Oryzias latipes: one gene and its partners. The protein of the gene in region 2 interacts with the protein of the main gene of each other region in a pairwise test. Links are inferred from orthologs where the notes say so. Each region holds a gene or a part of one and is shown on either strand. Other genes may lie near its edges.

The links. The genes of interacting proteins can lie anywhere in the genome.
Region 1: the proteins of appl2 (region 2) and death domain-containing protein CRADD-like interact in binary tests that used the Homo sapiens proteins (3 or more experiments, as listed by UniProt). The two-hybrid records come from large-scale screens. The link is inferred for Oryzias latipes from reciprocal best matches to the Homo sapiens genes APPL2 and CRADD.
Region 3: the proteins of appl2 (region 2) and rab22a interact in binary tests that used the Homo sapiens proteins (3 or more experiments, as listed by UniProt). The two-hybrid records come from large-scale screens. The link is inferred for Oryzias latipes from reciprocal best matches to the Homo sapiens genes APPL2 and RAB22A.

The regions. Positions count from the first base shown.
Region 1 is NC_019881.2:23,806,697-23,809,217, reverse strand, and holds the end of death domain-containing protein CRADD-like, read left to right. Parts: intron 1-729; coding exon 730-1,037; 3' UTR 1,038-2,021; downstream 2,022-2,521. Other genes in the region: arhgap8 (rho GTPase-activating protein 8), read left to right, coding at 2,431-2,464. UniProt on the Homo sapiens protein: Adapter protein that associates with PIDD1 and the caspase CASP2 to form the PIDDosome, a complex that activates CASP2 and triggers apoptosis.
Region 2 is NC_019864.2:12,221,596-12,224,185, reverse strand, and holds part of appl2 (DCC-interacting protein 13-beta), read left to right. Parts: intron 1-1,670; coding exon 1,671-1,845; intron 1,846-2,187; coding exon 2,188-2,224; intron 2,225-2,332; coding exon 2,333-2,488; intron 2,489-2,590. UniProt on the Homo sapiens protein: Multifunctional adapter protein that binds to various membrane receptors, nuclear factors and signaling proteins to regulate many processes, such as cell proliferation, immune response, endosomal trafficking and cell metabolism.
Region 3 is NC_019863.2:13,832,768-13,836,267, reverse strand, and holds part of rab22a (ras-related protein Rab-22A), read left to right. Parts: intron 1-374; coding exon 375-446; intron 447-531; coding exon 532-638; intron 639-923; coding exon 924-1,033; intron 1,034-1,830; coding exon 1,831-1,928; 3' UTR 1,929-3,500. UniProt on the Homo sapiens protein: Plays a role in endocytosis and intracellular protein transport. Mediates trafficking of TF from early endosomes to recycling endosomes. Required for NGF-mediated endocytosis of NTRK1, and subsequent neurite outgrowth.

The DNA of each region.
Region 1 (2,521 bases), on a different chromosome or scaffold from region 2:
TAATGAAGGGCAACGCCCAATAGGAGGGGCTTATCATTCAAAAGGGAGCATCACAGGAAGTGAAAAGGGAGAGTTGGAGGGTGTCATGTGCTGATGTGGCCCCGCGTGGAGCGGTTTAGTGATGGCTTCTTGTAATAAAGAACACATAAAATAACTAACAGGGTGGAAAGCACCGCCAGCTGACGCTGCCACACCGTCACACCATAGAAGAAGAAATCCAGCGGTCCGTTGTAAACAAGCGGAGCGCCGACACAGAGCGAGATTATCTTCTAAACTTTTATTATTGTTAGGATTGTTATTAAGTGCATTTGCAGATGAACAGACTGCAGTCAGAACCCTCTGGACCGCACACTGTACCAAAGCACCGTCCCCGCCTGCAAACACGAAGCTACGAGACTCCAGCTGGGTCACATGATCCGAGCCCGGGAACCTCCTGAGGCGGGCTGAGACGTGGTTCTTCATCAGAGAACGGACTGGACTTTGAATCAGTCCTGAATCGGGTCAGGACAGTCACTTCACCATGAGCCCACAGGCTGCTGATTGTAGTGGGCGGAGCCTACACAACTCTCACTTTGACCCGCCCAATCAGCGTGTTTGGAACATTAGGTGGGCGGGGTTAATTCCCATCAGTGTCAGAACCAACCTGGTTTTAGACACATCTGTGTAGAGGAAATGTAAAGCATTGAGCAAATGTTCTGCTGAGTTCTGACTGGAAGGTTCTGTTTGCAGACGCCTGTGGCCTCTCGGACTCGGTTCTGGAGAGGGTTCTGTCGGATCAGGAGCTGTGCCGGCTGTCATTCCGCCTCGGAGCCGAGTGGGAGGCGATGCTGATGGATCTGGGTCTGCCAGCAGAGGCCGTGTTCCGGTGCCGCTCCGATCACAGTCTGAGCACCCAGGCGGCGGCGCTGTCCGGACTGGTTCTGTGGAGACGGTCCGGAGGGAGGAGCGCCACGGCGAGGAGGCTGCTGCAGAGCCTGCAGGCCGCCGGCGTGCACGAGTCGGTGCTGGGGGAGGTTCTGACGCCACCCAGCAGCTGACCTCGGAAACTGCTCCAGAACCGGCCAAAGCCCAAAGAACCTCACCGGGAAGCGGGCCAGGTCACATGACCAAACGGATCGGGATCAGCCCAAGTTCTGACTCTCTAGAGAACCGACTAAAGGTCCAGATCCGGGTTCTGATTCTGGTCCTGACCCACTATGGTGTGAGGAGGAACCAAAGCTCTGCTTTGAATAAAACTTTATTAGTTTGACTTCAGCTGACACCCCCCCCCCCCCACCGCGGATGGTTTGATCATCAGCTGAAACTGAAGGGTTCGTTAGACTGCGATGCCCCGCCCACTAGCCCAGGTTGCGTTTTTAAGGTGGACTGAAGCGATCCTCCGCAGGGAGGGGGTCTGGTTCTTAGGTTTAAATTCAGGAAAACATCCGGATCCTTTGGGAGATTCTAAATGTATGACTGTCAGCAAAACGACTGAAATCTGAGCTGAACTTTGGTTTCTAGTGAAACATTTTTGGTTTCATATTCCTAAAAGAGTCAGCAGATCGACGTCAGAACCGGGTCTGAAGCTCTCTGCTGCCCCCTACCGGGCATCTGTAATCCCGGTTCTAAACGAAACCGGGACTTTGACTCAGAAGGAGACCGAAAAGATCTGATGGAAGAATTCTAATGAGAAACGGACCAAGAAAAAATAAATATTCATTCAAAAGTGAAGGAATAAAAGTTTAAAAACGGAAATCTCTTCATTTACTAAACATCTGAGCTTTCTACTGCCTTAAAGCCCCCTGCCTGGGGGCAGCACGGCTCCGGCGTGTTCTGCAGCACCGGAACCGGTGAAAACAACAAATAGAACAAACATGTATGACAGGAACAACAGTCATAACGAGAACCTCGGGGAGGGTTCATGTTTTACAAAAGAAAGATTACAGAAACAGATTACTATGCATTGAAAATATTCAAAGACAGTTTTCATAAATATGTTTGGCCTTTTTGTTAAAGCTACTGGAAATAGTATGTAAATAAGATCCTAATTCTTTAATTATTACAGGGAAAAACCTCCGTGACGTCATGCGCGTCGCCATAACGCTCTGGGCTTCGGTCCGGACTTTGACAGACCTGCGCGCATCCGACGGGTCAACCTTGTGGCGCTTTGCGCGCGCAGGTGTCGTCCGGGTATTTTAATTCAGGGGGCGGAGTTTTCCTGACGTGGAAACATCCGGATTCCTCGAAGTTGTGCGCGCGCACTGAGTTGTGTTGGAGCTCGTTCGGGTCGGCGCGCTTCGTGGTACACCGCGAGTGATCGACCGCTCCTCCCCCCTGTCCGGAAGTGTGACGCTGCTCCGGTATTCACCTGTAAGTCGGGTAATGACGTCATAAACCAGGAAAGAGTGTCCGTCCGCGAGCTGTTGGTAGCGTCGCGAGCCGGTGGTGGGCATGGCCGCGTGCGCGGAGCAGCTGGCAGACATAGGTGAGTTTACCTGGGGGTCACGTGACGCGCTCTCCGCAGGACTTCTGGATTGTGTCG
Region 2 (2,590 bases):
TAAGTCAAGGCCTTCTGCTTATTATTGTTTATGCTAAATAAAAGAACTAAAGCACCCATTTATTTTACAAACTGTTTTGATTGTGAAAAGGATAGGAGTCTCATTGGATAACGTAGACGAGGAAGAACATTTATTTTTAGAACTGAAATTTTACCCAGCCAGGATACAGGAAGACTGCTCCGGGTTCAAGATCGAAGTTGATTTGATTAAAAAGTGGATTGAAGTTAGCTGTGAACATGGGATGGAAGTCAGGCGTGATGAATATTCCTAAACATACAAATCCTGTAGAAGCCCACTTCAAAGGGAAAGGGCAAAGAAACTTAGACATTTCAAACTTTATATCATAGTTTCTAATTTTGAAAAATTGATCTTGTATCCAGAGAAATAATGTTTTCTATTATTTTTTTGTTGATTTTGCCAGGTTTGTCAAAAATGATGAAATATCATCAGCATATGCAGTGAGGTCAATAAGTATTTGATCACCCTGTGATTTTCTCCCACTTAGAAAACATGGAGGGGTCTAAAATTTTCATCATAGGTGCATTTCCACAGTGAGAGACAGAAACTGAAGAAACATTCAGAAATCACGTAGTACGATTTTTATATATATATATATATATATATATATATATATATATATATATATATATATATATATATATATATATATATATATATATATATATATATTTGAAATCTTTCCACCTTTTTCATGGTATGGTGAACACGTCAATGTAAGGGTGGGATCATCTACTATAGCACAAGGGATATATATATATATATATATATATATATATATATATATATATATATATATATATATATATATATATATATATATATATATATATATATATATATATATATATAAAAAACACATATATATATATATATAAAAAACACATATGGATGGATAGATAGATTTTTTTAAAGGGCATGTATGGTTTGAGTCCTGATTGACCATAGACCTGGTCCGTCTCCTCTGTGCCATGTCTCCAGCTTTCCAAATCTACATAAATCTTAAATCGCGATCAGATCTTCGTTTTTACTCTATATTAGACTTATTTTTCAATGACAGTTGAGAGTTTAAACAAGAAACAAAACTGTAAACATATTCATGTCTGTTGAAGTGCATAAGGTGTGTAGTAGTGAGGGCTATTACTGCCTTAAAACATCCGTAATACTACTTCTCACCCATTTCAGGTTATCCATAGAAAGTAACACTAATTGAATGCTTTGCTGTGTTTAGCTAGAGGACTTAGATCCGAATCTTTTTGAAAAGTCCCTTATGCAGTCAGGTCGAATCCTGAGCCGTCTTTTCCTGCAGCACCTTTCAGCCTTTTTTTTTTTTTTTTGCACTTGTTGGTTTGTTGTGGGTTTGTGGCTTGATGCATGACTCCATTTCAGGAGGGCTTTAGTTCAGCTATTGGAGACAGCTCCACATTTACCTTTAGTACAGTTAGACTGAGGATGAACCCAATTTAGAACCCCTTTACCGTGTGTCATGTAGATGTTTGGTCTTTCTGAACATCTGCCTTCCCTTTGTTTTAGTTGTCCTCAAACTATCCACATGAGCTTGTGTTTAGATTATTTGCATGACCCTTGAAATTGTCCGATCATTTGCTGGAGCTTTCAGCAGAGTTTGCAGGATCTCCTTTTCTTCTTGGCAGACTCCCTTCTGCAGCAGGTTTTCGCTGTTCGTTTTCTGGGTTCCATGGCCGTTCGCTGTGGCAACAACCGGGAGGTGATCTACGAGGCCATGAGGCAGGTGCTGGCTGCCCGAGCCATCCACAACATCTTCAGGACCACAGAGTCCCATCTCATGATCACGAGCAGCAGCCTGAGGTAGAAATTCCTCATTTTTTTGTGCATGTATGTTACTTTATTATTATAGGAATAATTCACATGTGTTTTCTTATGTACTATGCATGTGAACTATAGGCTTACCTACTTTACCTACTGTGATTTACCAAAACAATCAAATAATAGTTCTTTATTTATGAATCTAATCACAAAATAACATTTTTGTGTTTTTTTTTTGGTTGTTTTTTGCTTTTTTTCCAGTTTCTTAATCATGTAGTTAGTTTTTTCATTGCATTTAAAAAGCTGTATATTAATTTTTTATTTAGCTCTCTTTTAAAATGGGTTTATAACTTAAATAATTAGACTTTTTTTTATTCTTTACAGACTGATTGACCCACAGACTCAGGTCACAAGAATAAGTGTAAGTAGAAAAAGATGAAGTTGCTAAGCATATTTCATGGATTTATAATAATAATCCTGCATTTATAATACAAATAACATCTGGATGTTTTGTTTTTTCCACCAACAGTTTCAACTAGAGGAAGTGTGTCAGTTTGCAGCTCACCAAGAAAATGGGAGGCTGATGGGATTTGTGGTTGAAGGAATAGACTGGAGTGATGGGAACGGCGAAGGAGAGCCGTCGTTTAGTGCTTTCGTCTTTGAGAGCAACACAGAAGGGGAAAAGGTGAGTCCACCCATCAGACGGGCTCGTGGTTTGAAGGAGACTGGAAAGGTTGGTTGCTGCTGAAAGCACAGAGTCAGTTAGGTGTTTCTGTTGTTGTTCACA
Region 3 (3,500 bases), on a different chromosome or scaffold from region 2:
CACCAGTTCTGGGCCGGTTCTGGGCCTTATGGAAGGATATCCAAGACGTTTGACCCAAGTACTGCAGTTTAAAGGCAATAGTACCAAATACTAATGAAAAGTAATGTCATGATAAAAGTCATAAAAATCGTCTTTAAAAAAAGCTAGTCTCATTATTCTGACATGTGTCATATAGAAATAATTTTGATTGACCTAAAACAGGAAAGTTTTACTTTTATTTCATGTCTATGAGGGAAAAAAAGGACGTGTATAGTTTCAATTGTAGCTTCTGGCGTCTCCTTAATCAAAGTTAAAATCTGGTGAAGAATGAATACAGAACTATTATTGTTCTTTTAGTGTTTATCTAATAACATCTCATCTTCATCTTCCAAAAGTTTCGTGCTCTGGCGCCGATGTACTACAGAGGATCAGCAGCGGCCGTCATTGTATATGACATCACTAAAGAGGTTATTTGCTAATGTACTTTTACAAAAAATATGTACTCAGAAGATGCTGTTGATACTTCTGCTCATTGTTTACCCGCTGTACCAGGACTCCTTCCAAACACTGAAGAACTGGGTCAAAGAGCTTCGCCAGCACGGACCTCCCAATATAGTGGTCGCCATTGCTGGCAACAAATGTGACCTGTCAGATGCCAGGTAAGCCTCAGATGAGGTTATAGCATGTGATGATAAGCTATGCTAACATGCAGCGTAGCAATAACTCCTTGAGAAATATGTGTTTATGGAAACATGTTGTGAAGATAAACATTTTGTAAGGTTATGCTGTGGATTCCTGTTTTTTGTTGCTATATCACTATCTCACACATCAATTACCCGTCTCCCAGGTTTATATTCCACACCGACGTAAAATCCCCCACTTCACACCGGCAGGGAAACCTTTGTACATTTTTCAAAATATTGCCCTCGATGTGTGTTTTACAGGGAAGTGTCAGAAAAGGATGCCAAGGACTATGCTGAGTCCATCCATGCCATCTTTGTGGAAACCAGTGCCAAGAATGCCATAAACATCAACGAGGTCTTTACAGAGATAAGTGAGTGTGTTTTTGAATACTCTAAGCAGCTGGAATCAGCAGATTTACCTTACCGTCAAGGTAATGGTAGGAAGAAAACGTTTTAGTAGTGCATTTTTAAAGCACCTAAATAATAGATCATAATGAAATTGATTTGTTCTTGCTATTTATTCTCATGGCTGTTTGACAGTTAAATAGCCTGCATGTTAAGGCAAATGAGTTTAGTCATGTTAGTCGCAGGTTGATGCTTTTTGGAGCAAAAAGCTAATGGCGTTGTACACTGGAGCATTTAATCTGGTTTTATTAGTGTCAAATAGTTCTGTTTTTGCTTGAAATATTCACATAATTTGGTTTAAAACTGCATTCCGGCTTCTTTATCTGTCTGAATTGAAAATAAATAAAAGGAGATAGGAAGGACTTTGAAATGAAGAAAACCCAGAAACAGCACAGAGAGGTCACCTTTTTATGTCAAGTCACAGATGTTACTCCTAGATTGAAAGAATTTACTCAGATTCCTTTTTTAAAACTTTGATGCAAAGTATTGCTTCTTATAAAATAACATTTGTATTACCTAAATATGATTCAGTGGATACACTTTTTTTTTATTCTAAAGGCTTAAATGGAGGTTTGGGGGTGTTTTGTTCTGCATGTATAGACATTTCTTGCACCTCTCTGCACATAATTGATATAAAGAACAGAGAAAATAAATACAAAGTTTTATTTTAACTATTGAACAAAACTTAAAAGCCAGAGTTTAAATTTGAAAAAAAAAAGAAAAATCTAGTTGAAACCCTGAAAGTGCATGTTTGTCCCTGCAGGCAAGCGCATTCCCGTTGTTGATGCAGCAGGGGGAAGCTCGGCGAAAAGTATCAAACTAGGACGGCAGGTTTCAGAGTCTCGCAAGACGTGCTGCTGATGATGGGAACTGTCCTAAGAAGACCCGAGATGTGACCTTTGCTTCCCCGCAGTGCTTCGGACCTCCACTCACTCTCAAACCTCCCATAATAACCAGCAGCTGGGTGCAGTGCGACTGACTGACAGCTGCAGAAAACACGTTTTTATGACGTTGAGTGGAGATAGGTCATCATCCATCACCTCGAACATGATGACAGGAGAAACATTTTTGTGCAACAATGAGTGCATGCATTTCTAAAGAAGCCTTGTGCAATTGTATCATAGCCAAAGTATGATTAGAATTTTTAAGTTTGTAATACATGGATTGAGAGGTCATTTGTACTTGTACAGTTGTACAAATCTGCTATTTTTGAGCAGAAAAGAGCAAATCAGTTATTTTGATAGCCCTTAAGTTATTGTATTTTACTTTGATGGGTAAGTATCACTTAAAGAATTATCGACTTCAAGAGCAAACTGTCCTTAGTATCAATGCATGAACTCTTTTCTTTTGTTTTGTATTATTATTATTTTTTACAAGAAACTAAAAAAAGCATGTTATCAGCTACACTCGTGACTGATTGTCCTGAGCGCCTTGTTTAAATCGGTTGGTGTGAGTTCTGATCAGCTTAGGGTTTCTGTGCTGTGGGAAACAATTGCCCAGTAAAAGATGAAGAAATGAAAGGTATGTGGGACATTACTTCCTCTGTATGCTGGGAACAGCTCAGCATTTAGTAGTATTGGTGCCTCTGCCATGTTTGCTCAGTAAAGATGTAGCTGAAGCAGAGAGATAAATACAACTTTGGAAGAAGAAAAAAAAAGGGCTGTCTAGTTTATCTTTGGTGTTTAATGTGCTGTCTTTCATCATCATGTTGCACTAAAAAAGGGATGTCTCTAAAGTTCCCTTTATTTTTGAGCTTTTTGTTGCTTTGACTTTTGGCTTTTGAATATCAAACAATAACTTAAAATTGTAAACTTAAATCTCAGAATTAGCCTTTTGAAACAACCAGTCTGCTGTTCAGTAAACGGCCCCTAGAGGCATTACAACGACTCCTATGTTCCATGCTGTACACGGTTTACAGAGAATCGTGTCAGTGCTTAATGGTCACTGGTGAGCTGCCCACTTTTTAGTCTTTCTCTGCTTCTTGGAATGCTAAACAGCAAGTTAAATGATAATTTTTGTTTTTTATTGTCCCATCTTCTCTTCACCACCACTTCACCTAATCAGTACCAGCTTTCATACCTAGTGATGAGATGAAAACTGTCAGATCATACATTTCTATTTTTTTTTCTCATGTATATCAGGTTAGCAGAAGTTTTATAGCAGCCATGGGGCTGTTGACCCCCTGCTGAACTTTGGTCACTATTCTGCTCTGAATTAATTTGATTCTCTGTTCCAGAGTCGCCCTATTAATCCCCCCCCCCCCCCCCCCCCCCCCCCGCTTTTATGTTTTATGCGTCAACAATCGGACCTTGAGCTTGGTTCTAATTGTGGCGTAATGCATAAGAGTTTTTCCACTTTTCCAGAGTATTTAAATTCCTGGACATGGTTTTCATGAAGCTGTTCAGAGTTGGCCCAATTGGGGACAGGCAGCAC